Caenorhabditis elegans: one gene and its partners. The protein of the gene in region 3 purifies or fractionates together with the protein of the main gene of each other region. This does not show direct contact. Each region holds a gene or a part of one and is shown on either strand. Other genes may lie near its edges.

Region 1 (10,231 bases), on a different chromosome or scaffold from region 3:
GATCGTCCATCATTGAGCTACATGTCATTCAACGGAATGGATCAACAAAATGGTGAGTAGACAGTGTTGACTATTCCACTTGACACTTGACAATTGCCTTTTAACAGTAAGAAACCAATCAGTGAGTGTGTTTCGAACAAAAGTGTAGGAGGAAGAAATGTTAATCATTGAGATTTTATCAAGCATGAATGACGTGGGATCGTTGAACATATGAGCTTGAACAAAAGAATATAGATGCACTATAGTTAGAAATCTTAAAAAATAACCTTAAAATTAACATCTTAGTACTACTGTATACGTTTATTTTTAGAAAGAATAAGTTATATAATAGACTTTTCAACACATTCCTGAGTTTCCTACGCTTTTCAGTATCTCCACCAAGAACAGCTTCAATTCCAATCTTTATGTCACAAGAATCAGTCTCAATGCAATCCCCAATGAATTCTCCAGTCAACCATTCAATGAGTCATGTCGCAAGAAATGATCGATCACAAAGTAATCATAATCTTTCTGGAGAAGAACTTTACAAACGATTCCAACAAGTAAATAGTATTAATTCGACTATTTCACCAAAAGATTCAACATTACAGATATCTTTATCACACGTTCAAACATTGAACATCGTTGCCGATAAGCTATCAGAAGATGCTAGAAGAGGTGATGAGCCAGTATCACGGAATCGACTTTCACAATTAGATTTTGCATCTTTCATCATTACTTCTCCACATCCAATTTTGACAAAAGGAAAATCTTTGTTCTATAATGCAGTTCTTCCTAGACAGAGTTTACCAGACTATCCGGTTACTCTTATGGTGAGCTCCAAAACTCAGCGATTTCCGAAATTCAAGGATAACTTCCAGATTGCCCCGTGCTCCCAGTATGCTCCGCTCATGAGAAAAACCGAATCCAATCACTTTGGGTTGCCTGGCTTCCTTGAAATCGAAGATCATGATGGTGCGATTCGTCAATTCCTTTATGACACGGGTACACAGAATCTTGACGGTCGGAACACAAAAGTGATAGCCATGCCACGACTGAATCTTTGCTCATTCCACAGTTTGGCTGCTCATCAGCTTAATCAAAGAATGGATAGAACAAATCATGAAGAGCTTGTCAGTTTCATTCTTCTTCAAGTTCTTCAAGCTCTGAAAATGTTACAAGGAGAAGGCGTGGAGTCGCTGAGCACAAATTTCAAAGAATTCTTATTAGCATACCGATATCCAAATGTAAATTCTTCATATAATGAGTTCCCAAGACTTTTGTTCCTGCCGGTTTGTAAACGTTTACGTAAAACTAACTCTTAAAATTCTAATTATAGGAAACACTTGGAGCAGAAATTGAAAGCGGCGGCGATGAACTAGTCGGCCTTTGCCGTTATGCTCTGCGAGCACTTTGTACATTACTTCACCACAAAATGGATGGAAAAGCACCTCCAATCCAATTACGGTAATACTCAATTTGAATATTTTTTTAAATGAAAAAGTTCTAGATCACGATTCTCAAGGGCATTGTCAGCTTGTGCCGTTCTCCTTCAAGAAGATAAATCAAATAGTTTAACAAAAGCCAAAAATGTAATGGAATTGGCATTATGGTCCGGTGGTGAACATTTCAAAAATGAGCAAGATGTGAAGATATGGATTGATACTGCACGTGCCGATTGTGTAGATACTTTGGTTAGTTTTAAAATGAATATGTTAATTTTCAAATTATTAAAATTTTAGCTTCGCCAAATGATTCGAGAACCGAATCGCCAGCTTGGTGCTCGAGAAAGATTCCGCGTCGAATTCTTGCTCAGCGCTACACCTCGATCGATAATGGAATCCCAAAAAGCAACGATGGCTGCAAATGTGAACTAAACTGCCTTTTCACTTATATCATCACTACAGAAACTTTCACACGGTAGATTATTTATTAGAATTTTCTATTTTCCTTATTCATTTACATGTGTTTTTCGCCAAAACTATTATCAATATTGTTTCGTCTCTTTTTCATCTCATCAATTATCAGTTGCCCGGATGAATTTATTTTATTTTATTACGTTTGGAATAATTATGAGTTATGAAGATCGTATCTTCAGGAAATTTGAAGAATTCAACAAATGACAATGCTCCACGCATTTTTTCAATATTAAAAAATTAAAAACGTTGAATTTGTGGTTTTAATTTTAAGAAGCAACACCAGGTTGGAAATATTTATTTCAGAACTTTCAAAAACTGTTCAAAATAAATATCTCTTTCCGTTTGTTTTGAATTAATTTTGCACGGATCCACTTTTTTCTTTTCATATCCCAAAAATCGGTAGAAAATGATTCGATAATCTTCCACAGCACATATAAGAGTTATCGTAACATAAATTGGACCTCTGAAAAATGAAAGAACACTTGAATTAATGATTCATTGTAGACTCACGCGTGCACAATCATATCTGTACTCATTTTGAACATGTATTTTGTTTTCTCCTCAACACCTATAATCATTGGAATTGTTTTGAGAATGGCCAAAAGAACAATCATTCCAGTGAGCATTAGCAGTAAAAAGTTCAACATCTGAAATCATTCATATCAAAACCAAATTCCAAAAAATGCAAAAGCAAACCTTAAATGTTTTGACGTTTTCGCGCAGCTGATATCTGACGCTCAAATCAAATTTTATGTCTCTATTCCGAGTTTCAACAAAATGCAAAGTTCGCTTGTTAATTCTACAATTGTATAAAAACGTCTGAAAGTAACATAATTAAACATTTGGTGAGTCAAAATGACATACCAAAAATGAAGAAATTGCAATAATCCCTGCTAAAACAGCTGCAGAAATATATCGAAGAATATTGTTGACTGTCAAAAGAGTAAAAGTTGCACCAAAAAAGTTTTGGAATAATAAAAGTAGTACGAGAATGTATCGACGTTTTTTCTTCTCATAATCACTGAAAATTATAATTTTATTCCAAAAACACATTTCAAAAATTTCGAAAATTGATTTGGACAGTAAATTGAAAAGTGTATACTAGAAACACTTCAATCAGACAAATTATATGTTTTCAAATGTTTAAAACTCACAAAACGAAATATGTCGCGAGACTTCTCTCAACTACAATAACAATTGGAGCTGCCATAACAGTAAATAAAAAATGATAATGAGTAGCTGCAGTCCACAATATCATAGTCATACCACCCTCGGGGACATCTGTAAAAAAGTTTAAGACTTTAATATTTCAAAATAATTTAGTATGTACTTTGTTCTACCAAATAAGTAGTTTGGAATACGATTGTCAACATTTTGCTTATGGTCAAATCAAAATAAACAAATGCTGTAAACCATATAGGTCCTTGAAGATTTGGATGAAATGTGTTTGATCTACCAACTATCAAAAGACATAGAATTGTTGCAATTGATGCAATCAATACAATTATTATGTACATTATATTTTCAGTCATACTCATTTTGCGAAGTGCTCCATCAAGAAATAATGAAAATATTGTAGGGTTACCTGAAACAATAAAACATTTTGATGCGTGGTTTGCTTCAGTTGAAAAAAAAACTGTTTACAGTAAATGACTCAACGCAAAAAATTCACCTGATTCTTTACGGGAACGGCATCATATTTCTCAACAGATACCTATACCTATTTTACTGTAACAGTTTTTAATTGTGACAAGATTAACTTCTTTAGTACAACATGAGCACTTTCAAGGCGAGTTACGTTCTTTAAAGGTACACCAATAAACATTTTCGCTACATTTTATGATTTAAATTTGAACGTCAAATTCACAAGTTCCCGGAACGTGCAGGAAAAAATGTCACTTTATTAAAAAAAACTTACACACTGTTGAATGGGGCATTGTTACCAATATCTCTTCTGACATGAAAATGAAAATTTCGCACCGACAGCTTCAAATTTAAATGTCTTTCTAACAATTTTGTAGCTCAATTACAAATCAAAAGAAAATTGTAGGTTAACACTGGCAGTAGTCAGCCGACACTCCCCACTTTCTGAAAACTTATGACGAAGTGATGTTGGTTGGTCTTTCAATTCAATTTCAGCTGCTCTCCGACTTTATGAGAGCCGATGGCTACAGAAGCTTGCTTCGGATAATCGTTGCAGCTGGTTTTTTGAAAAAATCTACGAGAAATCAAGAAATTTTTATGGCACAAACACGTACATATGTAACATTAACAGAGAACGTTCAACGGAAACAGGAAGTCCTTTTCAATAATTAATCAAACAAAAAACATCTGAAATCACTCTAAAGTTCATCTCTTTTAACAAGCTTTTCTAGAACAATTTCGAAGAAAAGACGAGCACCACCGGGAATCTCTGGTGGGGATCCTTGGGATCCGTATCCATATTCAGATGGAATCACAACACGACGTCGTTCTCCTTCACACATTCCATCCATTGCAATATCCATTCCATCGATAACTTCCTAAAATTATATTGTATTATGTACTTTGCCACAAAAAATTTTTCCGATCATATAATATTGCGCCAAAATTTCATGATATATATATTTTCATGTTTTTTTTTCTAGATCATCAGAATATTTCAATTTTGAAGATCAAATAAACAAGAATAATATTAATAAAAAAATTCAAACAAAGAATTAAGCATAATTTTCATTGGGTTTTGTAATTTGCTCCCTACGTAAAAAAATTGTAAATTTCACATGACAGGTGAAATAAGATTTCATTAACCAATGTAACAACCAGTTTCTTTAATTTTTATAAACCACATAACACCTAGCTCAAACCACATTTTCATCAGACAGTTATGAGATTAAAAATGAAAACGTACATTCTCGGGATTTACATACACCATATATTACATACATCAACTTCTAATAGGTACTCAAAGAGTAAACCAAAGTTTTAAAAATGTTTAAACCAATTTTTGCCAAAATCTGACAAAACTTCGAATACTCTAACTCAAAATACAAATCCAAAATCTGGCCCAACTTCAAACAAACTTTCGTCCAAGGTTTGGTAAATTGGGCAAAAAGTGGCCGGGAGAGAAATTTTATTTTATTAAATTGAGTGTCAAAAAAAATCTGTGATGATTTTTTTTCTCATTAAATTTCATTTACCTATATGCGGTTGGTTTTTTAATAACTGAAAAAACTTACTCTGTTTCTCAATCTAAATACAAACGGAGCATTTCTTGAATAAGATGAGTCCACAAGTGTGTTATCTTCTAATCTCAAAACATATTGCTGATAAATCTTGTCGCCAGCTTCAGCTTTTTTACATTTGTCTGCTTCAATCTTGTGAATCTGATCAATTTGAATTCCTTCTTCAGTGACCCATCTCTCCCCAGGATTCGCACGGAACAGGTTCACCAGCTGGACAGTGTAATAGAGTGGCTGACCAGTCGAGTCTCTGTAATTATAAAAAAAAACTTCATGTATGGTTTCAATGATCAAACTTCTCAGGAACAAATTATCCTTAGGAAACTAATAATAATATAATCCCTTGCTTACTTCGCAAATCCTAGTTTCGGGGGAATCACAACTTTTCGAATCTCTCCAATACACATTCCTCGCATAGCTCTATCCATTCCAGGTATCACTTGATTCCTTCCCAACGTGAATGTATATGGTTTCTTTCCAAAATTGCTTCCAATTTCAACTCCCTTCTCATCTGTCAACTTGTAGTACTGATCAACTACATCGCCACCTGCGGATTTGATCTCGCATTCGCTCTCATCTATTGACGATGTTATCGTTATTTCTAATCCGTCATCTTCCTGAACGATTGAATAGTTTGTTCAAGAAGAAGTGGTTTTTTTTTAAATTTCCTAATATCGTTTATAGTTTGGAAACTGTACTTCCAATTGTTTTTATGATATATTTCACGAAGTCAAGCTAAATGAAAAATTCCAATTTGTTAAATAATATACCTTCCAGCTCTTATCGTTTGCAAAAACTGTCGATGAAAATACAATAATCAGGAAACAAGTGGTTCGATATAAAAACTTCATTTGATTTTTAGTAATAGAAATAAATGTTTTTGGGGAGTGGAATTAGTCTAAGTGGATGAGCGGTTACAAATGCGTCTACGACTGCGTTTTCTATTTTCTTACACTGATCGAAGGCCAACACGGCAACAGCAGTATCTATCGCATAGTGTCCTTCTTTTGTGCTTGCGTCTCGTACTATCTCGCTTACAAGAATCGTTTAGCAAGCTTTTCGCGTAAGGGAAGTAAAACAAGAGAAGAGGGAAAATGATCTGACAATTAAAATTTATAAGTTATGTTCTACTAGATCCATGTCGGTCGGAAATTCTTTTCAGTGAATTTATTTGTCTAATTTGAGTTGGTTTTAATGGTTTTTTCAAGACCCAAGTTGCAATCATGGCATCGATAAAGCATGCAGTACTTTTTGCAGTAGCATTGTAAGGCCCATAGATCTGAAATTATAATTTATCAGCTCTTCTAAGTCATTACTATAATGTTTATAAACTTCTCAAATTATTTAAACCTAATAATTTCAAAGCCTTTTGTAAAAAATGTTTGAGCAAAACAGTTTTCAAAATAATTCCACTTACGTCTGCAGAATAAAGTTGTGTTCTGAGAACAAGCGTCAAAAGAAATGGCGTAAAGTCAAATAGAAGAGTCAAACATGAATCACCAATACATAAGTAATTTGTCTGAAAAAAGTATTAATTACTAAAGGCTAAATTTGCCTACCTTTGATAAATTGACAATATTCATGGTTTTTTTCAATGCCAAAAGTTTGAAAAAGAGAACCAAAGAGCTTAAGCAAGTGAATCCTCCAATTACCTGAAAAGTATTAATTGAAAATAAATACAATTAAAACTCACACCAATTTACTACCAGTCCAGTATTGCAAAAAGCAATCATTATAAGTGCATCCCAGAACTGAGCAATCTTTTATGAATGGAGAAATATCACAGATCCAAAAATACATAACGTCTTCAAACATTCCCCATAAAAGTAACATAGTGAAAAATATAAAAACAGGTAGTTTTTGACGATTATTATGAAACTGAACAGGCAAAAATACTGCAATTAATCTTTCTATCGAAATCAGAGCAGCTAGGAAAAATCTGGTGGACAGGATGTTTGAGGATAATAATGTCACGACAAACAATATCTTGTAGTGAAATAGAAAGAATGGAGAGAGGTAAGATATATCCAAGGCAACATAGTATATACTAACTGTAACCATGTAAGATTTTTCGTTTTCGACATTTTGAGGGTTTGCACTATCCTGATCATATGAGCCTCTATACTATCAGACATAGATTTAAAGAGGAATTAATTTTATGCCTGCGACACCCACTGGGTGAGAATTTATTGCATTTTCCAAAATCTATTAAACATTACCTGCGATTGAATAACATATATCAACAAAAAATCGTATTTGGTATAAATGATATTCCGGTTTCTTCCTAATTGGAGAGTTTTGAAACTTCCACAGAAGTCTAATGTTCAAAACCACAACAAATATCGACGCTGTGATTCCTGCCGAGCTGACCGAAAATGCCTTGTGTTTGAATTCGTAAGACATTAGAAGAGAAAAAAAAATGCCAAAGACTAGAAACTTGTCAGTCTTATGAAGTATGCCAAATTTCCGCTCAGAGAAAGCAAAACGAGGAGATCGAAGTGAACTGAACTGTAAGATCACTGATGTGCACAAAAACTTCCTAATCAGATTAGAAACCGAAAACCAATTATATGTACTGAGATTCTTAGTGATGATTAATATGATGAAGTTTGGAAAAATGTAGTATAATCTCACAAAAAATTACTCCATTATCAAAATGATGGACACAACGCAGTTTCCAGTACTACCATTTCCAAGCAACAGTTGAAAGTTTTTCCGGGTTCTCAGTTGTCATTTTCGGCAATTTTCGGAAACTTCAAAATCATTGGCGAAAATTTGACATGTTATGTTCTGTAGTTCTGTATATGGACACCCGTATAAAGAACATCCGTGCATTTTGTAGCAGAAATATTATGTTAACGCAAAAATAAAAATATATACATTCATATGTACATAGGAAGCATAGAATTTGGGTGGATTTTCAAATTTTGAACCGGTTTAAATATTTTTTTACGGTTTACCAATTTTTCTTGTTTATCCTCAGATACCAAAAATATTAAGTATGCATTACAATTTTCAGTAATTTATCCACATCCACAAAGGAATGATTTAAAATTGAGTTCGGCTTGATCCATGTCGGTCGGAAGTGATTCCACTACGCGGATTTACACTCTTTATAGAATTTATTTTTGATGGTATTTTCAACACGATAGCTGCAATTACAGCATCAATAAAACATGCAAGACTTTTCGCAGTAGCATTGTATGGCCCATAGATCTGAAATATGATAAAATACTCTCGATCATTTTGAAATCTTGATAGCTTCCATCAAAGCGTTACTCATTCTTCATCAAATCACACAAACATGCTTGAACTATTTTATGTTTCTTATTAGAATAACTCACGTCTGCTGACAAAAGTTGAGTTTTGAAAATGAGTGTCACCAGAAAAGGTGAAAAGTCAAATATAAGAGTTAGGCACGCGTCGCCGATGCATAAGTAATTCGTCTGAAAAATGAAATTATACTAATTATAGAAATAGAGCAAACACTGATATTACTAACTTTTGACAGATCATTATTCAGATTCATTGCTTTTTTCAGTGATAAAAGTTTTACGAATAGAATCAAAGAACTCATGCATGTAAATAAACCAATTATCTGAACACTTGAAAAATAAAAACTAAAATTACGAGAAAAATTTTAAAACTGATACAAGTTTGTTTCCAGTCCAGTATTGCAAAAAACAATCATTCCAAGTGCACCCCAAAATTGAGCAAGTTTTTTCAAATGGAGAAATATTGCAAACCCAAAAATACATAACATCTTCCAGCATTCCCCACAATACTAACATAATAAAAAATGTGAAAATTGATATTTTCTGTCGATTATTATGGAATTTGACAGGTAAAAATACAGCAATGAGCCGCTCAATTGAAATTAAAGCTCCCAAGAAAAACCTGGTTGAGACAACGTTTGAGGATAATAACGTTGCAATAAACAGTGATTTATATTGGAAAAGAATGAAAGGAGAGATATAAGACACAATTAATGAAAAGTAGTATATACTAACTGCAATGTAATCTTTTTTTTTGAAAATCTTTTTCCGATGGAATTTTTCAACTAATGTATCCAGCAGGTTGCAAAAAGGATAAAATGTTGTGCTAAGAAACTGTGGTGTTCTACCAAATAAAAATATAAACTTTGTTCTTTACATGTAACTTTTCTTAAATTTCAATGAAACTGTACCTGTCAAAGAATAACATATATCAACTATGAATCTAATTTTGAATAAGTGATATTCAGGTTTGTTTTTCATGAGAGAGTTTTGAAATTTCCATAGAAGTCGAATATTGAGAACCACAATAAAAATTGAAGCAATAAATCCAACTGAAGTGACAGAAAATGCTCGATAGTTGAATTCAGAAGACATTTGAACAAATTTGTGTTTCTTGTAGTTTTTACTTTTTGCATGAAAACGTCAGACTGATTGAACTGAAGCGAACTCAACTGTGAAGTTATCAAGAAGTATAACTATGTAAAAACTTCAAAATTAGTTAAGGCACCAAGCATTGAAAATGCCCTTTATGATATAAAACAAATATTCGATCCGGCAGAAACATCACATTTATTCATTTTTCAGTTTTCGAGTTTTGCAGCAATTTTTAACAATTCCAAATATTTCGATTGTTACGTAAATTGCGAAAAGAGTGAACGAAACAGAGTAGATAATCAAGTCAATATTGTAGAATTCGATGAATCCCATATCTTTTGCAAAAGGCGTCAATGATGGAATTTTACCAAAACGTGCTGCATTTTCAGCATGCTTTAACATTAATTCTCGAGGGCTTATTGGTTGATTGTTTAGTATATCAGCTAAACGAGTTGCTGCTTCTTGATATCTATAAACAGTTCAAAATTTGGAAACTAAAAATACATATAATTCCAAAACTAACTTTTTATCAGCCAACATTGTTTTTAGTAGATCGCTCTGTTTTTTCCAATTTGGAATATCATGCTTAGAAAGTACTTCAACACTCCCATGCCTTTCAAGCATTTGTGCATTGCTGGGTTGGTCCGCAAAAAGTGGAGTCTTAATTCAAATGTTGTCCTAATTTTCAAAGTTCATTAAAACTATCATACCACGATTGCTGGTTTCGCAGAGTATGCTAGTT
Region 2 (10,737 bases), on a different chromosome or scaffold from region 3:
AATTTTTCAATAGAAGGAACGACAAGTGATATATAAGCAAAGTTGGAGAATTGGATGCAGTAGAGAATATACGGTAGATATAGAGACGTTATAATTTTGTAAAGTTGTTTCGATACACCATGTGCAAAAGCCTCGTGTGGCCCCAAAGTATACGTTGTCAATATTATTGGAAATAAGTCTAGAGCAGCTGGCTCAGACTATAAACTAAACGCTCCAAACTCAATATAAGAAGAAAGTACTTTTAAAATGGTTATTTGTTATCATCTATTACTTTACTGCGTAACACACAAGACCCATGATAATTCCTTGCGAGCAGAAGTGAACATGACCAAAGTACTCGTTAAACCCACTTGGTGCAAAATAACTAAATTTTCTATAAAGTACAGTTGACAGGAATGTCAAATATTCATATATTTTAATGATAGTAAAGTGGAGGCTAGCGTGAAACCCTTGGGGCAAAAGTGGCTTATAATTCTTTAAAAATTTTAAAACTAAATGATGTGGCTAGTTTTATATGCAAGACTAATTTGAACTTTAAAACGTATATTTCACCTTTCAAAATTGAATAACGTATCTAAAATTGTACAAGACACGGCTGGTCAATGCAGTATTAATAAATTAATTTATTTGGTATTTATTTACTTTAGCGAGATACGAATGCACATCAATTGAATTTTTTGTGAACATCTCGGTACAAGACGTCAAAATTCAAACTATTGAACATTGCCGCTAACCCAAGTGCATAAAATTCTCGACAAAAAAAGTGTGAATGAAACTGTCATTTTCAGAGTAGCAAGGGGAGGTTAAACCTTAAACTCGTGAACATAAAAAACCAGTTTCAACAGAGGTGAACAAAGTCAAAAGAGATGCAAGAATTTGATTAGCAAGGCGGGGAGAAATATGAGAAGCGCATGGCGGGAAACTAGATGGACGTTGTTTTCAAATTGAGGAATTGCAGGAATTGGTGGCAATTGGCACAACTGAGCATAGTACGGTAATCTACAGTAACCTAATTCAAAATATAAGAGGACGGGATACTGAGTAGAATATACAAATTAGTTAAATATATCTTTTTTCAGGAGTGAAAGGCAATTGCCGCTCGGAGAGTTAAATTGCTGAAAATTTGGAAAATCGAGAGTTTGCCGACTTTTCTTTGAAATTTTTCACTTGCTAAATTCGCTGTTTCCTGAAAAATATATTTTACAAACTACAGTGGTGCTAGGCTGTCCTATGACGGTATGATCTACAAAAAATGCGGGAATTTTTTGCAGCGAAACAATTTGACGTCAGCACGCTTTTAACCATGCAAAATCAGTTGAAAACTCTACGTCTCTTTTTGTAGATCTTGTAGATCCCGCATTTTTTGTAGATCTTTGTAGATCAAACACTCTGACACCACGTTCAAAAAAAACCATTGTTGTACAAAAATCTAATACAGGTACAGATGTTAGTAAATATAATGTCAAACCTAAAAGTTCCAAAAACCTTAACATTAAAAAAAACACATGTGTGGTTCCCGTCACCACCTGATAATACTATAAACATGTTTTTTAAATTTCATTTCTCCGCAAGTTTATCATCAAGTTGAGTGAATACATCACATAAACATACGAATAAAAAAATAAAACGTTTGTCGAATTTGGAATGTCGTGTGAATTTATTGGAACTTTTTGATGGTTTTTTTTTTGCGAAAAATAAGGTTTTTAGGGGCATTTAACGTTGAAACCCAACAATGCACCTAAATTTTAAAAATATTATTCGAAAGAAGAAATTTTCCACTGTTTTGTGAGATATTCTTTGTTATTTAAATACAAGCTTGTTCGGATAATTTTATTCCAGAATTTTCTAAATTTCTCTAAAATTATTTTAACGCGTTTACAAATAGGAAAAGCTAACAAAAATCACACTCACACATGTCACTCTGAAAATGTAGGCATTGTCGTTAAAAATCGGAATGCAAGAATGGTGATAAAAATGGGCGGTACTTGTTCAAATTTTTGGTTGAGGTTAGGAGACTACAAACTACAGCTGTGTCTAGACAAGCTTATATAATTTTTTTCTAAAATCGATATCTTTTGTGTAGTTTGTAGTGTGGCCAAACAATCTCAACCAAAATTCGCTTGGCCACTACAACACTAGATTTCGAATATTTTCACACAAAAATCCCAGAAAACCTACTACAAACTACAACACTTCAGCCTCAAACACCTGAAAACTGACCGCAACGAGGCTTGCTGACTACAAACTACAAAAATTTGAGCTTCTGACATGGTGCATCGTGGAATTTTAGAATTTTGGAATTTTAACGGACGTTTATCATTTTACATGAATTTCCATTTTCAATGTTAATTTCGAATCGAATAAACTGTTTTTAAGTAATTCACTCTATTTTCCAGCTTGAAAATCAAATATGTGCAGAAAAACTGAGAAAAGAAAATGGAAAATTGGGAAAACTGATGTGGGAACATCACATTCGTTTCCCTTTGTGGGGGAACTTTGTGGGCGCCAGGCCAGGGACACCCAAATTTTTATGCGTCTTCGATCATTTTATTGCCCTTTTTGCTTCTTTTTCGACTTTTCCGCCACGATTTTCAAGGTCTTTTCGACAATTTTTTATTGAAAAAAGATGTGGAGTACGGTAGACAGTGCCACTGTGCGCATTGTACGTGGATGCGTACAATGCGCCAGACTCGACGCGCATAGTTTATTGATTTTTTTAATTTAATTTTCGTCCGATTTTTCGTCCATCTTTCCTCATTTTTAACCGATTTTCCTGCATTTTCCGCTTGAAAACGTTTGTATTAGAGAGTAAAAGTGTTAAACATCAGAATCCTGAGCATTTATAAATAGAATGCGTGCGCTCCGCCCGTCTCAAGTGTTTGTTGTCCAGAAAGTGAAAAAGAGAAAGTGCTGAGATGACGTGAATTTTGCATTTTCATCTTTTGTAGGGTTAATTGGCATTGAGAAATTGTTTAAAATCTGTAAATTCTATGGGAAAAATTCAGAATTTTATTTTTTTTCGCAAAAAAAAAGATTTCCAGTCTTTTGCCCGAAAAATGTCGATTTTCGGCATTTTTCCGTGGAAAAAAGTGTCTTTTCCGGTTTTCATGCTGCAATATTGTGTATTTTGTAGTACTTTCCACTTTTTAATTCCACTTTTCAAATTTGTATGCCTAAAAAACTCGGAAATCAGTTTTTTCCTAGAAAAGAGCCAGATTTGTGTAGTTTGTAGTGTCTGCTTGAACTAAAAAGTAAATACTAGTGAAAATTATACAATTTTCCGCCTAAAACTATCAAAATCCCTGTTTTTTCGTTAAAAAAGTTTAAAAAAATAACTGAAAAAATCACCGATTTTCAGAAAAAAAACCCCCATAATTCGCTGTAAAAAAGGAAAAAATCCAATTTTTTTCGCAAATTTTTTGAGATTTTTCGACACTTTTGTAGTTTGTAGTGCGAATGGCTCACACTACAAACTACACGAATTCAGATTCCCCTTTTCAATCCACGCGCCAAAAAACGAGTGGATTGTTTCCACCTGCACACACTGCAGTCTTTAACAGCCTGCGTCTCTAGCGATTCGTATTGTGTCTCGTCACTTGACACGCACAGTGTCTGCGTCTCTCTCATTCCGTACACTATCTCGTCGTCTCTGTTTCTCATCAATACACACTGCAGTGCCGCGCCCTTGTGTTCAGGGGACACCGGCGACGATTCTTCAATACATATACATTCATATTTATTCCAATTTTTCCCCGATTTTTCATTCAATTTTCCCACCAGCCGCTCCATTGAACTTACCACGTCATCATTTTTCTGGGTTTTTTTCTGGAAAATTTGCAATTTTTCGAGTTTTTTTGATCAAGTGACCGGTATCTTGCGAAATATTATTTATTAAAATATTGATTTTTGGCTTAAATCCGGAAATTTTCTGTAGTTTGTAGTCGGAATCCTTCTATAAATTAGTTAATAAGTAACTCAACATTTGATTATCTAAAAAATTCCAATTTCAAATCGTAAAAAACCATTTTTTGGTTGGAATTAACTCGAAAAATGTTTCAAACCCCATTAAATGCTCACAGGGGTTTGTAGTTTGTAGTCTGAGCTCCAATTTTGGTTTTAATAGCCTTTTAGTGCAAAAAGGCCGAAAATTGAGCCAATCTAGCTATTTTTTTCCTGAAAATGAAGGCAATTTTAGGGTAAATGTGTTATAATATTGTAGTTTGTAGTTCGAAAATTAACCTAAATGTATATATTTTTTAAATAAAATTAACTCGAAAAACATGTAAAACCCTCTTTTTTTTAAAACTATTTTTGGTCTATTGCACCATGTTATTTCAACATTTTTCATTAAAAATTAGTGTCAAAATATGGAAAATCACATTATCTTCAGCTGAAAATCTAGAGAAAATGCTCAAAAATGGTCTGAAAGTTGCCAATTGTCGATAAATAAATTGGCAGCTTTCAGGCCATTTTTGAGCATTTTCTCTATTTTTTCACTGAAAATAATGTGATTTTCGGATAAATCAAGTGATTTTCTATATTTTGACACTGATTTTTGATGAAAACTGTTGGAATAACATGGTGCAATAGGGAATTCAAAATATATCGGGAAGATCTTTTAAATAGTGAATAACTTGCAAAAATTAGTTGTTCCGATTTTCGAGGTTATTCATGCAATGCGGAAATTTAGAATTTCAAATTTCTGCATGAATAACCCCATTAAATCGTCGATTTTTTCATGAAACGTGGGGATTTTTTGGGTTTTAAAAACTTCTAAAATCAATTTTTTGGTTAGAAAACACCTGTAATTTCTGATATTCATTTTTGAGCATTTTCTCTATTTTTTCAACTGAAATTAATGAGATTTTCAGATAAATCAAGTTATTTCGGACTGCAAACTACAATATTATAACACTTTTCAACTCAAAATAGCCTTTAAATTCGTTTTTTTTTCACGCTCTTTCCCCCATTTTTCCCCATTTTCCGTAACATTTCTCAACTTTCTGCTCAAATTCAAAGAAAAATTGCAGAAAGAAATAAGAAATGGCATCAGCATCAGGTGGAGATGTACCAGCGGGTCGAGAAAAAGATAGTAAATATCGTGCATACGCAAAAGCCATCGATCAGGCGTTGAAAACATTCGAAACACCCAATGAATGGGCTGATCTCATTTCGGCACTCGGAAAATTGGCTAAAGTGGGTTTTGTTAGTTGGAAGAAATTTCTAGAAATTCAAAAAATTTATTAACATTTTAGTGAAATATACATGCTATTTGCAGCCTAAAATACTAAATTTTTACTATAATTTTTATTTAAAAATTCAATATTTGCACAACTTCTAACATTTTAGTTCCATTTTTATTGTTTTAAATATCAAATATTATGGAAATATTCTGATTAAAAATACTAACATTTAAAATTCTAAATGTAACTGTTACAATGAATTAACACTGTTACAATATTGAATATTGAATAAACATCGCATTTTTCAATTTAATACTGTTATTTCTCGAATAAAGTTTTTAAAAATTTAATATTTGATGTTTACAGGATAAATTATCCTATTTTATTGAAATCAAATATCAGATTTTTAAAACTTTATTCAAGACATAACAGTATTAAAATGAAAAATTCGATGTTTATTCAAGTTTTTAACAATGTTAATTTATTCTAACAGTTATATTTAAAATTTTAAACGTTAGTATTTTTAATCAGTAAATTTTCATAATATTTGATATTTAAAACAATAAAAATGGAACTATTGAATGTTTTCATATAAAACAGAATTATAAATTACGCTATGGAATTTGTTTTTTTTAATTTCATATTTTAAAATGCATGTTCCTAGCAAAGAAATTATAGCAATAAATTTTTAAAAAAAAATCTATTCAGGTATTCCAATCAAACGCTAAATTCTGTGCGATACCAAATCGGGTAACCGTCGCGAAACGTCTGTCACAATGCCTTCATCCAGCACTCCCTATGGGTAAGGTTTTTTAAGAAAAATGTCATTAAAATATGGAAAAAAAAACTGAAAATTGACACAAAAAGTCAATAATTTGCACAAAAATTCGCTTTTCAAACATTTAATTTGAATATTTTCCAAAATCTGTCAGACTACAAACTACAAACTTTGCAGGTGTCCACCTAAAAGCCCTCGAAACGTATCGTCAAATCTTTGAAATTCTCGGGCCGAATAAGCTTCCCGAATGTCTATATCTATTCGCTGTCGGCCTATTCCCTCTAATGGATCACTGTGGAATTAAGGTTAAATCCGAGCTATTCACAATATTTGAGAACTATTTGGTACCACTTGGAGCAAATTTACGGCCCGCATTGCCCGGATTCTTGGGTGGAGTTTTGTTGGCGTTGGAGGAGGGAACAGAGTTTTATGAGAGGTAAGAGAGAAAGAGAGAGAGAGAGAGAGAAGACTACAAACTACAAACTACAAACTATAAACTAAAAAAAATTCTGAGCCTCAACCAATTTTGGTGAGGTTAAAGAGTACAAACTACAAAAAAACTGCACTTACCAGGAATTATTTGGGTTGCAAGAAAAAAAAACAATTAAAAAATTCGGCAATTCCACAAAACTCTCCATTGCACCATGTTATTCCAAAATTTTCCATTAAAAATTAGTGTTAAAATATAGAAAACCACTTAATTTAACTGAAAATCATATTATCTTCAGCTAAAAAATTAGAGAAAGTGCTCAAAAATGGCCTGAAAGTTGAAAATTTCCGCTAAAAAAATTGGCAACTTTCAGGCATTTTTGAGCATTTTCTCTAATTTTTCAGCTGAAAATAACACGATTTTCAGATAAATCAAGTGATTTTCTATATTTTTACATTAATTTTTAATGGAAAATGTTGAAATAATATGATGCAACGGAGGAGAGTTTTGTGGAATTGCCATTATTTTTTGAAAAAAAAAATATTTAAAAAATCTTTTTTTAATGTCAAAATACCACAAAAACCCCAAAAAATGAGAAAAGTCTGTGCAAATTTGTTGTAGTTTGTAGTCTATCAAGATTCTTTTCAGATCCTTCATTCTTCTGGATCGAGTCTGCGAAAAAGTAGGCCCACGGGCCTTCTACGCGTGCCTCTGGCAGGCAATTCTCGGCTCACCGCCCGTTCGATTACCCGCCATGATCTACGTGAACGCGAAATTCGACAAATTAAAGAGCCTCGATGATCAGATTCATTTGGTTGGAGATCATGTTAATCATATGGTACGGCGGAGTGTTACCCTTGAAGCGAAATTTTGCGATTTTTGCGCCAAAACTATGGTAACAGGTCTCGACACGACAATTTTGTTAACTGCAAAAAGGTGTGCGCCTTTAAAAAGTACTGTAATTTCAAATGTTCGTTTCTGTGGAATTTTTAGCTATTTTTCAATAGATACATATATCTTTTTCGAAAAAGAGCAACAAAAGTCGGAAGTTACAGTGCTCTTTAAAGGCGCACACACTCCTTTTCGCATTTTTCAAAAAAAAAAAAAGTTGTCGTGTCGAGACCTGGTACCGTGTTTTTTGGCGCCAAATTGCGAAACTAGACGAAATTGTGCAAAAATTTGCAAAATTTTCCCAAAAACTGCAAAAAATTAGCCAAATTTTTCTCAAAAAATGTGCAAATTTTGTACAAAATTTGTCCAAAAAAAGTGCAAAATTAACGTGTAAAACTATTGCAGGTAGCCGCCCTGTGTGCAGTAGCCGATGATACAGGTTCTCCACTTGTTCAACGGTATCTTTTGGATTTCCTAGTCGCCGCATTTCCATTGGATAGTACTAATCTGACGAATGAAGATTTTGTTCAACTTCTCCGAAGATGTCTTTTTGTAGTGCTTCGGAGAGATATGTCATTGAATCGACGTCTTTATACGTGGCTTATTAATCGAAGTGGAGAGACGAAAGGTGTCTCAGGTACAAACTACAAACTACAAAATTTTAAGCTATTTTTTGAAAAAAAAATCCCAATTTCTAGCAAAAAAATTGGTTGAAAATGGAGATTTTTAGGATGAAAACCTGTAAAGCTTCCCAAAAAAATATGTAGTTTGTAGTCTCTAAATAATTTTTTTCTAAAAAAAATCTGAAAATGACCCCAAGTTTCCTGAAAATTGCATTTTTTAATATTGGAAAATCGATTTTTTTTTTGAAAATTTCGGAAAAAAGTGCCTTTCTCATACAATTGATTAAAAAAAAACATATTTTGACGATTTTTTGTTGTAAATATTTAAGGAAAATTATAATTTTTCTAGCACAGAAGCTACAGACTACGAAATTATCAAGCCGCGGAGCCAAAATGAGCTCTAGGCAGACTACAAACTACATTTGAATTTTTATCGAATTTCGTTAATTTCGATAAAAAAACTTAAATTTTCTTTTTAAAAAATAAGAAAAAGGCCGAAATTTATGGATATTTTTTGAAAAATCGATTTTTTTTTCCGATTTTTTAATTTAAAAAATCGAAAAAAAAAAGATACTGAAAAATAATAAAGATGCTCCAAATTTTAAGATTTTCTTCTAAAAATCGAAAAAAAAATCCAAAATTTCCAGGCCTCTCACTCGGCGGACCCGATGACGGAATTGAGCTCACATTTTTCAAGGAACGAGTGCTCGGCCTTGTACACGGAGCTCTTGGTGAATATCTTGCTCTTGACACTATCGAAACTCCCTTTGCAAATCATCAAAATTCAATGTGGGGAGATCGAAAAGAAGCGGAGCAGGTCCAATTCGCGGAGGTTCGAGTATGTCGGCTTCTGCTCTACCTACAGGATCGAGCCGATATTGGAAGGACGATTTTGGAAACAGTTTTTGCGGATTTTTTGAAAAAATCTGCAGAATTTCATTCGAGCAGCAACAGCTCCTCACTGAAAAAGAGCCCCAGAAAGATACAGCAAAGTCTGAAAAATCCGCGAAAACCCGGAGATCGAGAGGGTCTTTATCTTGATTTGAATTCGGTGTGCTCTACGTCCAATAAGGATGATGATGTCACTTCTGTGACGTCATCAGCAGCAGCAAATGCCAGTTCTGGTGGGTTTTTGCTGCTGAAAATTGTGATTAAAATTGAAATTCTCTGTAGTTTCTATTGCACAGCATATTTGACGCGCAAAAATATATGGAGGGGGAAAATGTGGTTTCGAAATTGAAAAAAATCATTAAAAATGAATAAAAATTCTATAAAGTTTCTAACAATTAAATTTGTTATTACGGAAACACCGAATTCTGAGAATGCGTATTGCACAACATATTTGACGCGCAAGATATCTCGTAGCGAAAACTACAGTAATTCTTTAAATGGGTACTGTAGCGCTTGTGTCGATTTACGGGCTCGATTTTGGAAATTAATTCAAATCATTTATCAGTAAAATAATATGAAATTGGATTTCAAAGATCGAGCCCGTAAATCGACACCAGCGCTACAGTACCCATTTAAAGAATTACTGTAGTTTTCGCTACGAGATATTTTGCGCGTCAAATATGTTGTGCAAAACGCATTCGCAGAATTCGGTGTTTCCGTTATACCAAATTTAATTGTTACAAAATTTATAGAATTTATATTTATTTTTAATGATTTTTTTCATTTTCGAAACTACATTTTCCCCCTCCATATTTCCAGCTCCGCCACCAGACGAAGAGGATTTGGTCCAAGCACGGAGAATCGATGAGTTATCGAAAACTTTCAATATGCTCTTAAATTCACTGGAACCCGGTTTCTTGTGGACATTTCTTGGTGATTGGTATCGACGGATTGTTGAGAATAACGAATTTGAACGACAGATTCATGATTTTTCGCAGGTTAAAAATTTTCTGATATTTTTTTATTGACAAAAAATTCAAAAAAATTAGAAAATATATTTCTGCCAAAAAATTTCAAAAAAAGCCACAAAAATTGCCAAACAATTTTTTAAAAATATACTTTTAGCAGAACATTTCCAAACAATTTCCAAAAAAATTCAAAAAAAAAACGTTTTTTCACAAAACAAAAACGGAAAAATGTATATCCAAAAAAGCCAAAAAAAAAATTTTTTTTTTAATTTTTGCCAAAAATTTCCAAAAGAATTTTAAAAAAACCAAAACCACGTAAAAAGTGTATATTTTTGACAAAAAAGTCCTTAAACCAAAAAAAAAGTCCAAAAAATCGAAAAAAAAAACATTTTTGACAAAGAAATCCACAAAAATTTTCTAAAATTTCTAGAAAAAAATTTTTGACAAAAATATTCGTTTTTTTTTAACAAAAACATGTTTTCTTCCGAAAAAAAAAATACGAAAAATGTATATTTTTGCCAAAAAAATTTCAGAGAAAAACAAACTTTTTTTTGGCAAAACTTAAATAAATGTTCTACCAATTTGCATTGCAGGTTGTCTCAGTGTGCCTAGAAATGTGCAACGTGGAAAGTGATCCAACAATTCGAACACAACATTTGCCACGTCTCCTGGAAACTGTATTAGAAGGAGTTTCGAACAAGAATCTACTATCATCTTGTGATCAATCGGATCTTCTCCAACTCTACACTGTCTGTCAGAAGCTTCTAGAAATTAGTACTGCACATCCACCATCACCGATTGAAGGTGAGCAGGAGATGGGGTAGACTACAAACTACACTACGTGGCCGTGAAATACCAAAAACTCGGCCACCTATTTTCAATTGGAACAAACGATTTTTCGAAAAATATATTTTTTTAAAACATTTTTCTTTTTTGAAAAAATTGAAAAATTTTCCATTTTCTGGCAAATCAA
Region 3 (10,048 bases):
ACAAGAAAATTATTTTCTTCATTTTCAAAAATAAATTTTACACTTTTCCAATTAAAATATGTCAAACAGAAGATTTTAAAAAGAAAAAAAATATATAGTGATTATGAATCAAGCGTTCGGTACCCTTTCTTAAAACGACCTAAAATATTTTTAAAAAAAGGCTTCGAAAAATAAAAAATCACGCATAGTTTTCCAGAAATAGCAGATTTTTATAAGGAAAAATTTTTAAAAAAGTGCGAAAAATAAGAGATAGCACTATTTTACTTTTTCATGGAATATTTCAGTCACTTTTATTTTTCAAATCTTTTAGCTGTCTTCATTGTGGTCGGATATTCTGCATGAACTGCCTGAAAGACACCGTTCCAAGTGGACCAAATCATCGACCAGCCAATGTGTGCAAAGTATGTCACACACTGCTCAATCGGGATACAAAACCATTCTTTGCAACGCAGGATAAGTAATAATTCATCTGGAATGCTTATTCTGTCGCTGATTATCCACAACTCGCCCTTCCAATTTCACTTTCGCCACCTTTTCCCGATTTTATATGTGCATCATCCGTGTGCTAGAATGTCTAGTCTTTTAATTCTTGTACAATGCTTAATCTATTCTATATACGTACATATATACCAGAAATTGATCTAAAATTGTGCATTAAAATTTGTTTTATTGACTTTTATGAAATTAGAATTATTTAATTAGAATCAATGGAAAAGTTTTCGATCACAGTTTCGTCGTTGCTTGATGTCAAGATGCTGATGGATTCCAAATTTCCTGGCTTGTCAATATGCCACGTGGAATCTCCGGTTTTGTCCATAATTTCAGATCTATTCAGAAGCAGGTCAATTGAATTGGAAGTAGTGCAAGTTATGGTCAGGGTACTGTAGTTGACAGAATCGAAAGTGAATAGTCTGGAAAAAATTATAATGAGTAAATTTTTGTATGTTCATAACTTACAGAAATTTTCGATTTCTGCCAAAAAGAGTGAGTCCTGTAGAGTCAATTACTTGGTGGCAGAAGGAGCTTAAAATTTGAGGCTGAAGCTGCACTGTGCTCAGGCGGTAGTGCCAATTTTGATCCATTCCAGTACAGAAGTTGGTGCCAAAGTTTATAGAAGTTAGAGGACGAGTTCGGATGTGTGGAAGAAGTTTGGACCAGAAGCTGGAATTAAATTAAAATTTCAATAAAACTTAAATTGTGGAATTTTTCTGAAAAAAATCCTAATGTAGAATTTTCTAGTTGGAAATAAATTAAATTTCAAAAATTATGTTTTTTATAAATTTATATTTTTATCGGGGTACTGTAGTCTTTTTTTTCTGATTTTTCAATTTTATTTTCAAAAAACCTTACTGAATTCCTTTGCAAATTTGATTTTCCTCAGGAAACTTTTCATAAATCCATCCGGGTGCAAAAAGAGCAACTGACATGTGAAAAAGTTTTGCCAATGCAAATGACTGATCACAATGAAATTCTCCAACACAACCACGAGCCCATACATCAATTCCAACAAAGATCCGATCAAGAACTCCAAATTCAGCCGATCGAAGAAGTTCTTTATCTTTCCAGTTGTAGTTGAGATAGATGGCGTCACAAGCATCGTAGAATTTTCTTAAAAATATTAATATTTCAGTACAGTTCTAATATTCTAACCGATTCATCTCATTCAATTCATTTTGCCAATGCAACTTTCCATTATCAAGTACCGAATCATACCATATCACTTTCGAATTTTCATTCATTTTCTTTGACTTTTCAGTTAAACTCGAACAAAATTGAATCAACAAATCGATTTTTCCTGCATCAATTTTATTTTCAATATTAATCAACCATCCATCAAATCCAAAAAATCTCGCAACAGCCACCAGACAGTCCACTGTTTTTTCTACCGAACCCTCATTTTCCAAGATTTTCGAACAAATATCGTATCCTGGAATCCATTCCGTGATGAATGTTCCAAGTGAAAGAACACCTGAAATTGGGATACTTTGACTTAAAAACCAAGAAATGGACGGGCATGTTTTGTGTTATTTCGATTTTTAGATTTAATATTTTATACCATGTTTATGAGCAATTCGTGTATAATCTTCCGGTGGAATCGTCACAAAATGATGTGAAAAGTAGTTGAAAATGTCGATTTGCCACCAATTCAAGAACATGTACGGGTACCGGTCTTTTTCGAATTTCTTTCCTTCCGTAGACTCCTCTTCCAAATATCCACCACGCATATCGTGGCATACGAGGATTTGACGACCCGAATGTGGTCTGAAATTTTGCCATATAGTAGGGAAAATCCATGATTTTAGGTCTCAGCACGATCGAAGCTTTTGTCCTGTGACTGTGACTGTGACTATTGTTTATCAATAAAGTTATCAAAAAAAGTTTAAAACTAAGTAAAAACCAAATATTATGTAAGTCTACCATACTACTGGGTACTGTAGCTGAAAAAATTGGCTCGCGCCAAAACCATTTTTTTCGCATTCGGGCTAAAAATATTTAACACTATTCTTATTGCCAGGTAGAAAATTAATTTTCTTTCTGAAATTTCATAAAAATTACTTAAAGTTAACCAGTTGCTCACTGTATTGCTCGCCAACATCTTCTCGTGATTTCCAACTCCAGAGCTCTTCGAGTGTGTCAATTGGAGAAATCGTCATCTAATTATAAATAGAATTGTAAGTCAAGATCAAGAGGCTCTGCGATATTTCAATTGATTTCAACTTTACCCTTAGCATTTCACGAAAGGAAAAACTTGAAGTTTATATCACAAAACAAATCACATATAAATTAAAATTCAAACAGATAACGATATAGCACAATTTCCAGATCCCGCAAACGAGTTGAAATTCATAAATTACTAATTTAAAAAAGGAAAATTTAATTTAAAGTTCTTTTCTGTCAATTTCATCATCTGGAATATCAGAAAGATCCATTGGTTCTTCTGGAGCAGCAGGTAGAGGTGCCACATCGACAGCAGTGCAAGCACCCATTTCTCCTTGGCAGAACTGTTTGACGGGATCCTGATGGGCGGTCTTCAGGAAACCAAGAAGCTCATCTTCGTGAGAGTCAATGAAGTCGTTGCACTAAAATTTAGAAATTTAAATTAAAAAATCAAGACTGAAGTTTTCTGCAAAAAACTGAAAAAGTTCTTAATTCTCATTAGGGATTGTTTTCTAATAATAACTAGAGTTTGGAATCCCGTGCTTGAACTTACAGCGTTTTGAAGATTATATCTCATTTTGGGAGACTCATCTCCTTTCAAATGTGTGGCGTCGTTGTGAACGTAGACTGATTTTCCAGTAATTGTATTCACCTGAAGAGAAATTTGTAAAAATCTATACAATTTATGGTTCTTACCACAAGTTTATAGTGTTTCGCATCATCACAAGCGTGCTCAATGATTTCTGTCAAATGAGATTCTGAACGAGCATAGCCGATTTCCTTGAGCCCTTTTTGATCTCCAGTTGGTGAAACTCGGAAACTTCCAACTTCGATTTTCTTTTTCGGGTCGACTGCGGCGATTTTCAGCTCGAAATGGGTTACGAGGAGGGAGCAGGCTGAAATTTTCAATATTTAAAAATATATTTTAGAAAAATCTATCAACCTCCACACTCTAATGAAGAAACCGATGCAGATTGAATACCCGACAGTGATATGAGACAAACCAGTGTAGAAACAAAATGCATTCTGAATAAATGGTTAAAAAGCGTCGATAATGACCAAGTGAAGCGGAGAGAGAGAGAGAGCAAACAATGATTGGGAGAGTGGCAGAAAGAAAAGAAAAAGAACGGTGTTTGGATAGGTATCCAGTGTTTGTGTAAATGGTACTTTTCTTCACGAATAAAACATGAATATTATTCATTAAAGTTGATTGGAAACAACGTATTCAAGAGATCGAAAATTGATAAGTTAAACATTTTTTCAATTGGGAACCGGTCGACGTACACGTGGAATAATGTCGCAGAGCCGTTGTCTGGAAATTTAATTTTAATACTATTCAGATATGAACTCTGAAATCTCGTCTCAAAGATATGTTACCCGGCCTCGTCACGTACAATTTTTTCAAAAGTAGTACTGTAGTGAAAAACTAAAGAACGCTCCGCAACAGCGAGCAGCAATGAAATTTTATTTTTGGTATTTTTCGAAAAAAAGGGAGCGAAAATAGAGAAAAATTCTGTTATCCTGTCGGTAACTGAAAATATAATTGATTTTCAAATTTTACGCTTTTTCCAAAAAAAAATTACACTTATAACTGAATGCAAATTTTAAGGATTTTAAAATCGAAATTATTTTTTAAACTTACTCAAACTGCGTTCGCTTCTTCATATTCGCTTCGGAAGGCAGATCGTGTTCTCTTTTCAAAAATCCTTCATAATCTTTCCATGTAACACAAGAAGTTCCTTGTTCTCGACCACGCAACGGGCTCAACAGAATGCCCGTGTTCAGGCAAAACGGCATCTCTCGGAGCTCATTTCTGAAATTTAATTCAATGTATTTTCAAGGATTCAGGCACTTACAAGCAATCTGTAATTGCATCTCGAAAGAATCTCGTCAATGGATCCTTCAATCGACAAGCTTCTTCATATCGTTGAACACGCATTGATTCATCTTCTCCAAGTGAAATTGATAGTGGTGTCATTGGATCGAGCTGATCGTATGGGATGTTTGCATCGCTAATTCCTGTCAAATCGAGCAGAAACTCTGGAAAAAACAATAAAAATTGATTATTGGCAAGGGTATCATTGAAATTTTTTATGGATTTTTTTTCTGAGAAAATCAAAAAAAAAGTTTAGCAATTTTACAACAAAAAAATGTTTTGTTTAAATCAAATTAGGCTTATACTGTTATCAATCAATATTATTAAGGAAAAACATATAATTGCCATCTAAAAAGGAAAAAAGGTCAACATTTAAAACTATTTTTTGAAAAAACGAAAATTGTTTCCAAATATTGGAAAAAGCCCATGGATTCTCTTTTTTTATTTAAAACTTACGAGTAATAGTTGAAACAATGGCGGATGGTAAGTTAAGAATGGCTCTTCTTTGACTATTTCCAGCTCTTCTTAAAGTATATCTCCAGATCATGCATCTCGGACGGCACGCAACACAAAAATATGCTTTTATAAACTGCTTGGTTTTGTTGAGAAGTTTTGCGTTTCTGCGGAACGTCAGCAAACTGAACACATATTGAAGATCGGCATTCTAAAATTTGGCATTTTTTCATAGAAGCTGAAACAAAAAAAAACTCACAGAGAATACACCTGTTGCTCGAATATTGTAAGAAGTTTGTTGGCAATGCGAGAGATTCATTAGACTTAAATCGATTTTATCGAATTTTGACTCTGAATTTGTGTTGGTCGTCTGTCCTACAATTGTTCCTCTCAGGTCTTTAATGTTTGACTTTAGCGCATTTAGCTGAAAAATCAAAAAATGGAATTTTGAATTCCGGGCTATCAGAATTCTGACCATAATAGACGTTCCAAGCATTGCAAACCTTCCATCAGCCGCCGATGGATTCACCATACCTTCTACCAGCGATTCCATAGAAATATCTCCGAGAAATGTGGCTTCAGATATTCCGCAACGGATGGTTCTCTCCAATGAAGCTTCATTGAGCGTTTTATCCGATGTCGACACCATCACACGTGTTCCAAGCTCGATTATATCGATTTTCTCTGAGGCAATGTTTTGCTCAATTTTTTCTGAAACAATAATTGAACTTTTAATATTTTATTGATAATTTTTTTACCCATTCGATGGATTTTTTTCATTCTTTGAGTCGTCTTAAAATCTTTAATATCTTCTTTTGCATCATTATAAGAATCATATTTTTCTCCGCCCATATAGTCCTCTACATCGACTACGTCTTCCATTTCCATCATCTCATCTTCGTATGAGCCGTGTTCAGAGCTTTTGAAAGCAAACGGAATTACTATAAAGAACATTTTTTAATTTTTGAATAAAATTATTATTTTTAAACTTACTTCTATTTGAGTTATTCATATTTTTGTGGTAAATTTCTTGAAAAAAAATAATAAAAGGAAAATAGAGAATAGAGACAAACCGAGAGAGACCAGAGAAACGTTGTCCGAGAGGAGTGCACGGCCGAGAAAAGTCCAACACCTTTTTGCGCGCTAAATTTGAATTTAATTTGCCGCACAAAAATTTTCCTCCCTTTCCAGCCGCAAAATAGAATTTTCTTGAAGTTTCACATTTCCACACGAGAAAGCTAATAAAAATAATTATGTTTATAAACAATCAAGCAATTTTTGTCCTATGCAAGTATGCATGAACCGAAAACAGCGTTGGTGTTTTTATAAAACAACATATTTACAAACTCTAGGATAGAAAAATGAAAAGAATATGACATGATTCGCTAAAAAACAATTAATATCATTGAAAAACGCAAGGCAAATGAACAAAAAAGCAGACGTGAAAATTCTAAAAAGTCTACCATAAACTTTTGCGCGCCGAGACCCATCTGAAAAATACATATGTATATAATTCATGAAAATTCCAATATTTTAATTGTCTATTATATTGCTATGTTCATGTGTTTTGAGCCTCTTCTATGCTCTCCAGAGCTCTCTGTTCGCCACATGTGTTGTGTAATTCGAAACAGCCGTCACTTTTCCTCTGTTTTTCATTTTTTGAGTGTGTGATGCTGCTTGCTCTGCCTTCTGAACTTTGCCATCATGCATTTTCGAAAGAGATAAAAAATCTTGAAAGTTGAGCATGAAGCACCCAATTGTCTCTGGTGACACTTTTCACCTCATTTTCAAATCTCTTGCGTCATTCAGCTCGAGCCATTCGTCTTTCGATTTGACCCGGTTATTTTGTACAATTTTTAGTAGAAAAAATTAGTTTTTTGGGTCCTGACACGAGCTAAAAATTTTAGTATACAGTATCTGTAAGTATTCAACCAGTTCCCACAATTTTTTGAAAACTTGTTAGAAAAACTTAAATTACTGAGAAGTCTTATTATATATCAGGAAATATGAAAACTGTCAAATAGGAAACAACTTTCTGTAAGAAGAATGAAATTCTACAGTACTCGCGGGTACTGTAGCTGAAATATTTCGCTTGCTCTAGAACCCTGATCGTCAATTAAAAAAAATTGGCTAACTCGGCAATATTTGAGAATTATTAAGTTAATCGGAAATTTCAGAAATTGAAAATTTTCAGACATTTTTTTTAAATCAATAATCACGAAATGAACGATGATAAACTACGGAGCCTATTTGCATCTCTTGCAACTCTCACACAACAAGGACCAATTCCAGGTGAGCTATTTAAGAAAATTCGAAATCGTTCTTTGTATGTAGAATCAGGCAAATGTGCCTGCTCACGCCTTGATCCCGTTATTTAGTGAAAAGTGATGTGGATCGTCGCGGGACCCACAATTTTAAAAATTCGAGTTTCAGTGCAAGCCTACAGTATGCTTGCTGGTCAACATTCTACAGAAGTTCTCGCCGAACACATGAGGCTCCGATGGCTTTCGGATGGACGCTTTGGACCAGTTGCTGCAAATATACTAATGCACATCCATAAGGTAGTTCTGTACTACGGTAACCTCAAAAACCACAAATTAAAATTCCAGTCCGATCCAAAAGACATTTCATTATCCTCAAATGTGTTGGCTCTACTACTCAACGACTACCGTAACCGGCTTTCAGTTCGAAACGATTCTCGACTTATGTTCAGGAATTGTGTGAAGACACTTTTTTCGTAAGCAATTTCCAATTTTTTTTTTCGAAAGAAACTATCGTTTTATTCCAATTTTCGAATGTTTCTTGTAGTCAGACACGCAATTTTGATATCATATGATATATCATGTTGAGGTATTGTTGAATGAGAAAGGGTGTGTGCCTTTAAAGAGTACTTTAGTTTCAAAAACTCAACACTGCAGAGCTCTGATGAATTTTTATTGATTTTTCATAGTTTCCCGAAAAAAATATGTGTATTTATTAAAAACTCAAAATAAAAAAAATAGAAATACATAAATACATTTTAACAAATCGTGAGGAAAACTATTTAAGATTTTGAAACTACAGTACTCTTTAAAGGCGCACACCTCTTTTTAGTTAACATAAGCTTGTCGTGGCGAAACCAGGGACCTTATTTTTCTCACATGAATCGTAAGTATTTGCTTGCAAAGAATATAGAAAAAAAACGCGAGAACTGGAATTTTCCAACAGTAAAATTAGTAGTTGAAATTCGATGAATTCATATTGAAATATCCGTTCAGAATGTATCCAGTATATGTGAAAATGGACGAATGTGTGTCAAAATGCTTCATAAAACCAATGTTCTCATCTTTGGATGCACTTATTGATGATGCTCCAGATACCGAAGATCTAGAGGTTTCCACAGAAACATTTTTCTGAAAAATCTAGAATTTTTTAATTTCAGACAGCCGGGATACTTCTCAGCGAGAATGGTCGCGTTCTTCACGATTTGAATTCATATCTCGTCGAACGAATCATTGTAAAATTGCGTCATAAACTTATCAGTGAAGATCCAATTGTCACTAAACATGTCCGTCAAATATTCATTCATGTGAGGAAGATCAGAGAATGATCAATTGATTATTTGATTTTAGGTGTATGATCTTTGGGCATTTGGATGGAGTGAGCTGAATATTCCTGAATGTCTTCTCACTTTGAGTGCAGAAGGGAAGCTATCGATTGTTGATCAGACACCACTTCGGAAGAATGATATCAGCAAGCAAGAGTTCGGAAGCAAAGAGAGCATTGTTTGAATATATTGAAGTAGATCCTTAATATTCCCACTTTTGGTGATTTTTAGTTTTCGGGTTTCATAAAATATAAAATTTCGGTGAAATAAAACTTCATTTCGGGGTCAGTGAAATTATACAATCTTGGGGACGAGGTTGCGAAAAATCTATTCACAGGAAGTTATGCGTCATCGCTTAATAGGAATGCTTGGCAACGAAGAGAGACTCGGCGGCGGCTCCAGCTGCGTCTTCTCCGGCGTACTTTCCGAGAGATGCATCTCCATTGGCCTTGGAACGGTGAAGGAGTGTCTTCTGAGCGGCAGCGATGTTCTCGTCTTTTCCGCCCCATGCCTTGAGCACAGAAGCTTGAAGAGCACGTCCATAAGAGAAGGTGAGCTTCCATGGCTTTCCGAGTTGAACCTGTAAATAGAAATGAGTGATATAAGGTTATTCCATTTCGTTTAAATTTACCGAGTTAATAGCATTGAGGTTAGCAGTGGCATCAAGTTCGGATTGCCCTCCAGACAGGAAAGTGATTCCTGGAACTGCAGCTGGAACTCCGCGTCTCAAGGCGGTTACGGTAGCCAATCCAATTGCCTCGTGTGAAGCTTTCGACGCGCTCGATTGTCCTGGAGTAACCATGTTTGGCTTGAGAAGAGTTCCTTCGAGATACACGTGATGATCAGCAAGAGCCTTGTACACAAAGGCAAGAACTTGCTCAGTAACCTTCTGGGCACGAGCCAAATCATGTTCTCCGTCGCAGAGAACCTCTGGCTCGACAATTGGAACAAGTCCGTTGGCCTGGCAGATAGAAGCGTATCTGGCTAGCACATTGGCGTTCTCGAGCATTCCGAGGTGAGATGGGGTGTGAGTTCCGATGTTGAGAACACAACGCCATTTGGCGAATCCACATCCTCCCTTCTTGAAAGCAGCGGCACGTTCGGCAAGCTTGTCGAGCCCCTGGGTGGTTCCCTCTCCAATGGTTCCAGCCAATGGGACAACTCCGAGATCGAGCTTGATTCCTGGGACGATTCCTTGCTTGATGAGAAGATCGGTGAACTTCTCTCCCTTATCGGTGCTTTGATGGAATGTCTCCTCGTAGAGAATCACTCCGGAGATGTGCTGGTTGAGATTTGGAGTAGTGAACAGGAGTTGACGATACTTCTGACGATTTGTCTCGTTGTTTTCGAGGTTGATGGCATCAAGACGCTTTCCGATTGTGCCTGCAAATTGATCGGGTCACGATGTGCTGCATTATAAAAAAGAAGAAATCGGTCTTCCCCAATATCATTTCTACATGTTATCTTTCTTTCTA

What was found.
Region 1: the proteins of F01F1.11 (region 3) and fkb-4 fractionate together in Caenorhabditis elegans (co-fractionation; one large-scale study listed by BioGRID). This does not show direct contact.
Region 2: the proteins of F01F1.11 (region 3) and pad-1 fractionate together in Caenorhabditis elegans (co-fractionation; one large-scale study listed by BioGRID). This does not show direct contact.

The regions. Positions count from the first base shown.
Region 1 is NC_003283.11:12,781,030-12,791,260, forward strand, and holds fkb-4 (peptidylprolyl isomerase), read right to left. Parts: upstream 6,098-10,231; 5' UTR 5,971-6,097; coding exon 5,890-5,970; intron 5,737-5,889; coding exon 5,471-5,736; intron 5,370-5,470; coding exon 5,117-5,369; intron 4,421-5,116; coding exon 4,241-4,420; 3' UTR 4,124-4,240; downstream 1-4,123. Other genes in the region: ZC455.1 (LIM domain protein), read left to right, coding at 1-52, 370-542, 591-812, 861-1,271, 1,319-1,446, 1,490-1,673, 1,722-1,856; sre-20 (Serpentine Receptor, class E (Epsilon)), read right to left, coding at 2,193-2,361, 2,409-2,545, 2,595-2,717, 2,763-2,919, 3,053-3,179, 3,229-3,483, 3,817-3,835; srbc-44 (Serpentine Receptor, class BC (Class B-like)), read right to left, coding at 6,240-6,398, 6,537-6,638, 6,679-6,771, 6,815-7,170, 7,339-7,522; srbc-43 (Serpentine Receptor, class BC (Class B-like)), read right to left, coding at 8,168-8,335, 8,464-8,565, 8,622-8,717, 8,773-9,128, 9,306-9,489; ugt-5 (UDP-glucuronosyltransferase), read right to left, coding at 9,685-9,958, 10,013-10,149, 10,200-10,231.
Region 2 is NC_003279.8:12,873,609-12,884,345, forward strand, and holds the start of pad-1 (Protein pad-1), read left to right. Parts: upstream 1-5,030; 5' UTR 5,031-5,043; coding exon 5,044-5,196; intron 5,197-5,891; coding exon 5,892-5,985; intron 5,986-6,138; coding exon 6,139-6,397; intron 6,398-7,039; coding exon 7,040-7,229; intron 7,230-7,687; coding exon 7,688-7,919; intron 7,920-8,552; coding exon 8,553-9,029; intron 9,030-9,615; coding exon 9,616-9,794; intron 9,795-10,357; coding exon 10,358-10,568; intron 10,569-10,737. UniProt on the Caenorhabditis elegans protein: May be involved in protein traffic between late Golgi and early endosomes. Essential for cell patterning during gastrulation.
Region 3 is NC_003281.10:5,865,846-5,875,893, forward strand, and holds F01F1.11 (PAP-associated domain-containing protein), read right to left. Parts: upstream 6,033-10,048; 5' UTR 6,000-6,032; coding exon 5,981-5,999; intron 5,929-5,980; coding exon 5,746-5,928; intron 5,699-5,745; coding exon 5,463-5,698; intron 5,412-5,462; coding exon 5,247-5,411; intron 5,199-5,246; coding exon 4,991-5,198; intron 4,699-4,990; coding exon 4,515-4,698; intron 4,472-4,514; coding exon 4,301-4,471; intron 3,971-4,300; coding exon 3,919-3,970; 3' UTR 3,840-3,918; downstream 1-3,839. Other genes in the region: rabn-5 (FYVE-type domain-containing protein), read left to right, coding at 311-461; eng-1 (mannosyl-glycoprotein endo-beta-N-acetylglucosaminidase), read right to left, coding at 695-911, 958-1,161, 1,351-1,608, 1,651-1,969, 2,057-2,262, 2,557-2,654; F01F1.15 (DUF3456 domain-containing protein), read right to left, coding at 2,880-3,080, 3,212-3,310, 3,355-3,554, 3,602-3,683; F01F1.3 (MIF4G domain-containing protein), read left to right, coding at 7,210-7,279, 7,421-7,548, 7,597-7,724, 8,245-8,359, 8,409-8,555, 8,599-8,757; aldo-2 (Fructose-bisphosphate aldolase 2), read right to left, coding at 8,929-9,153, 9,205-9,956.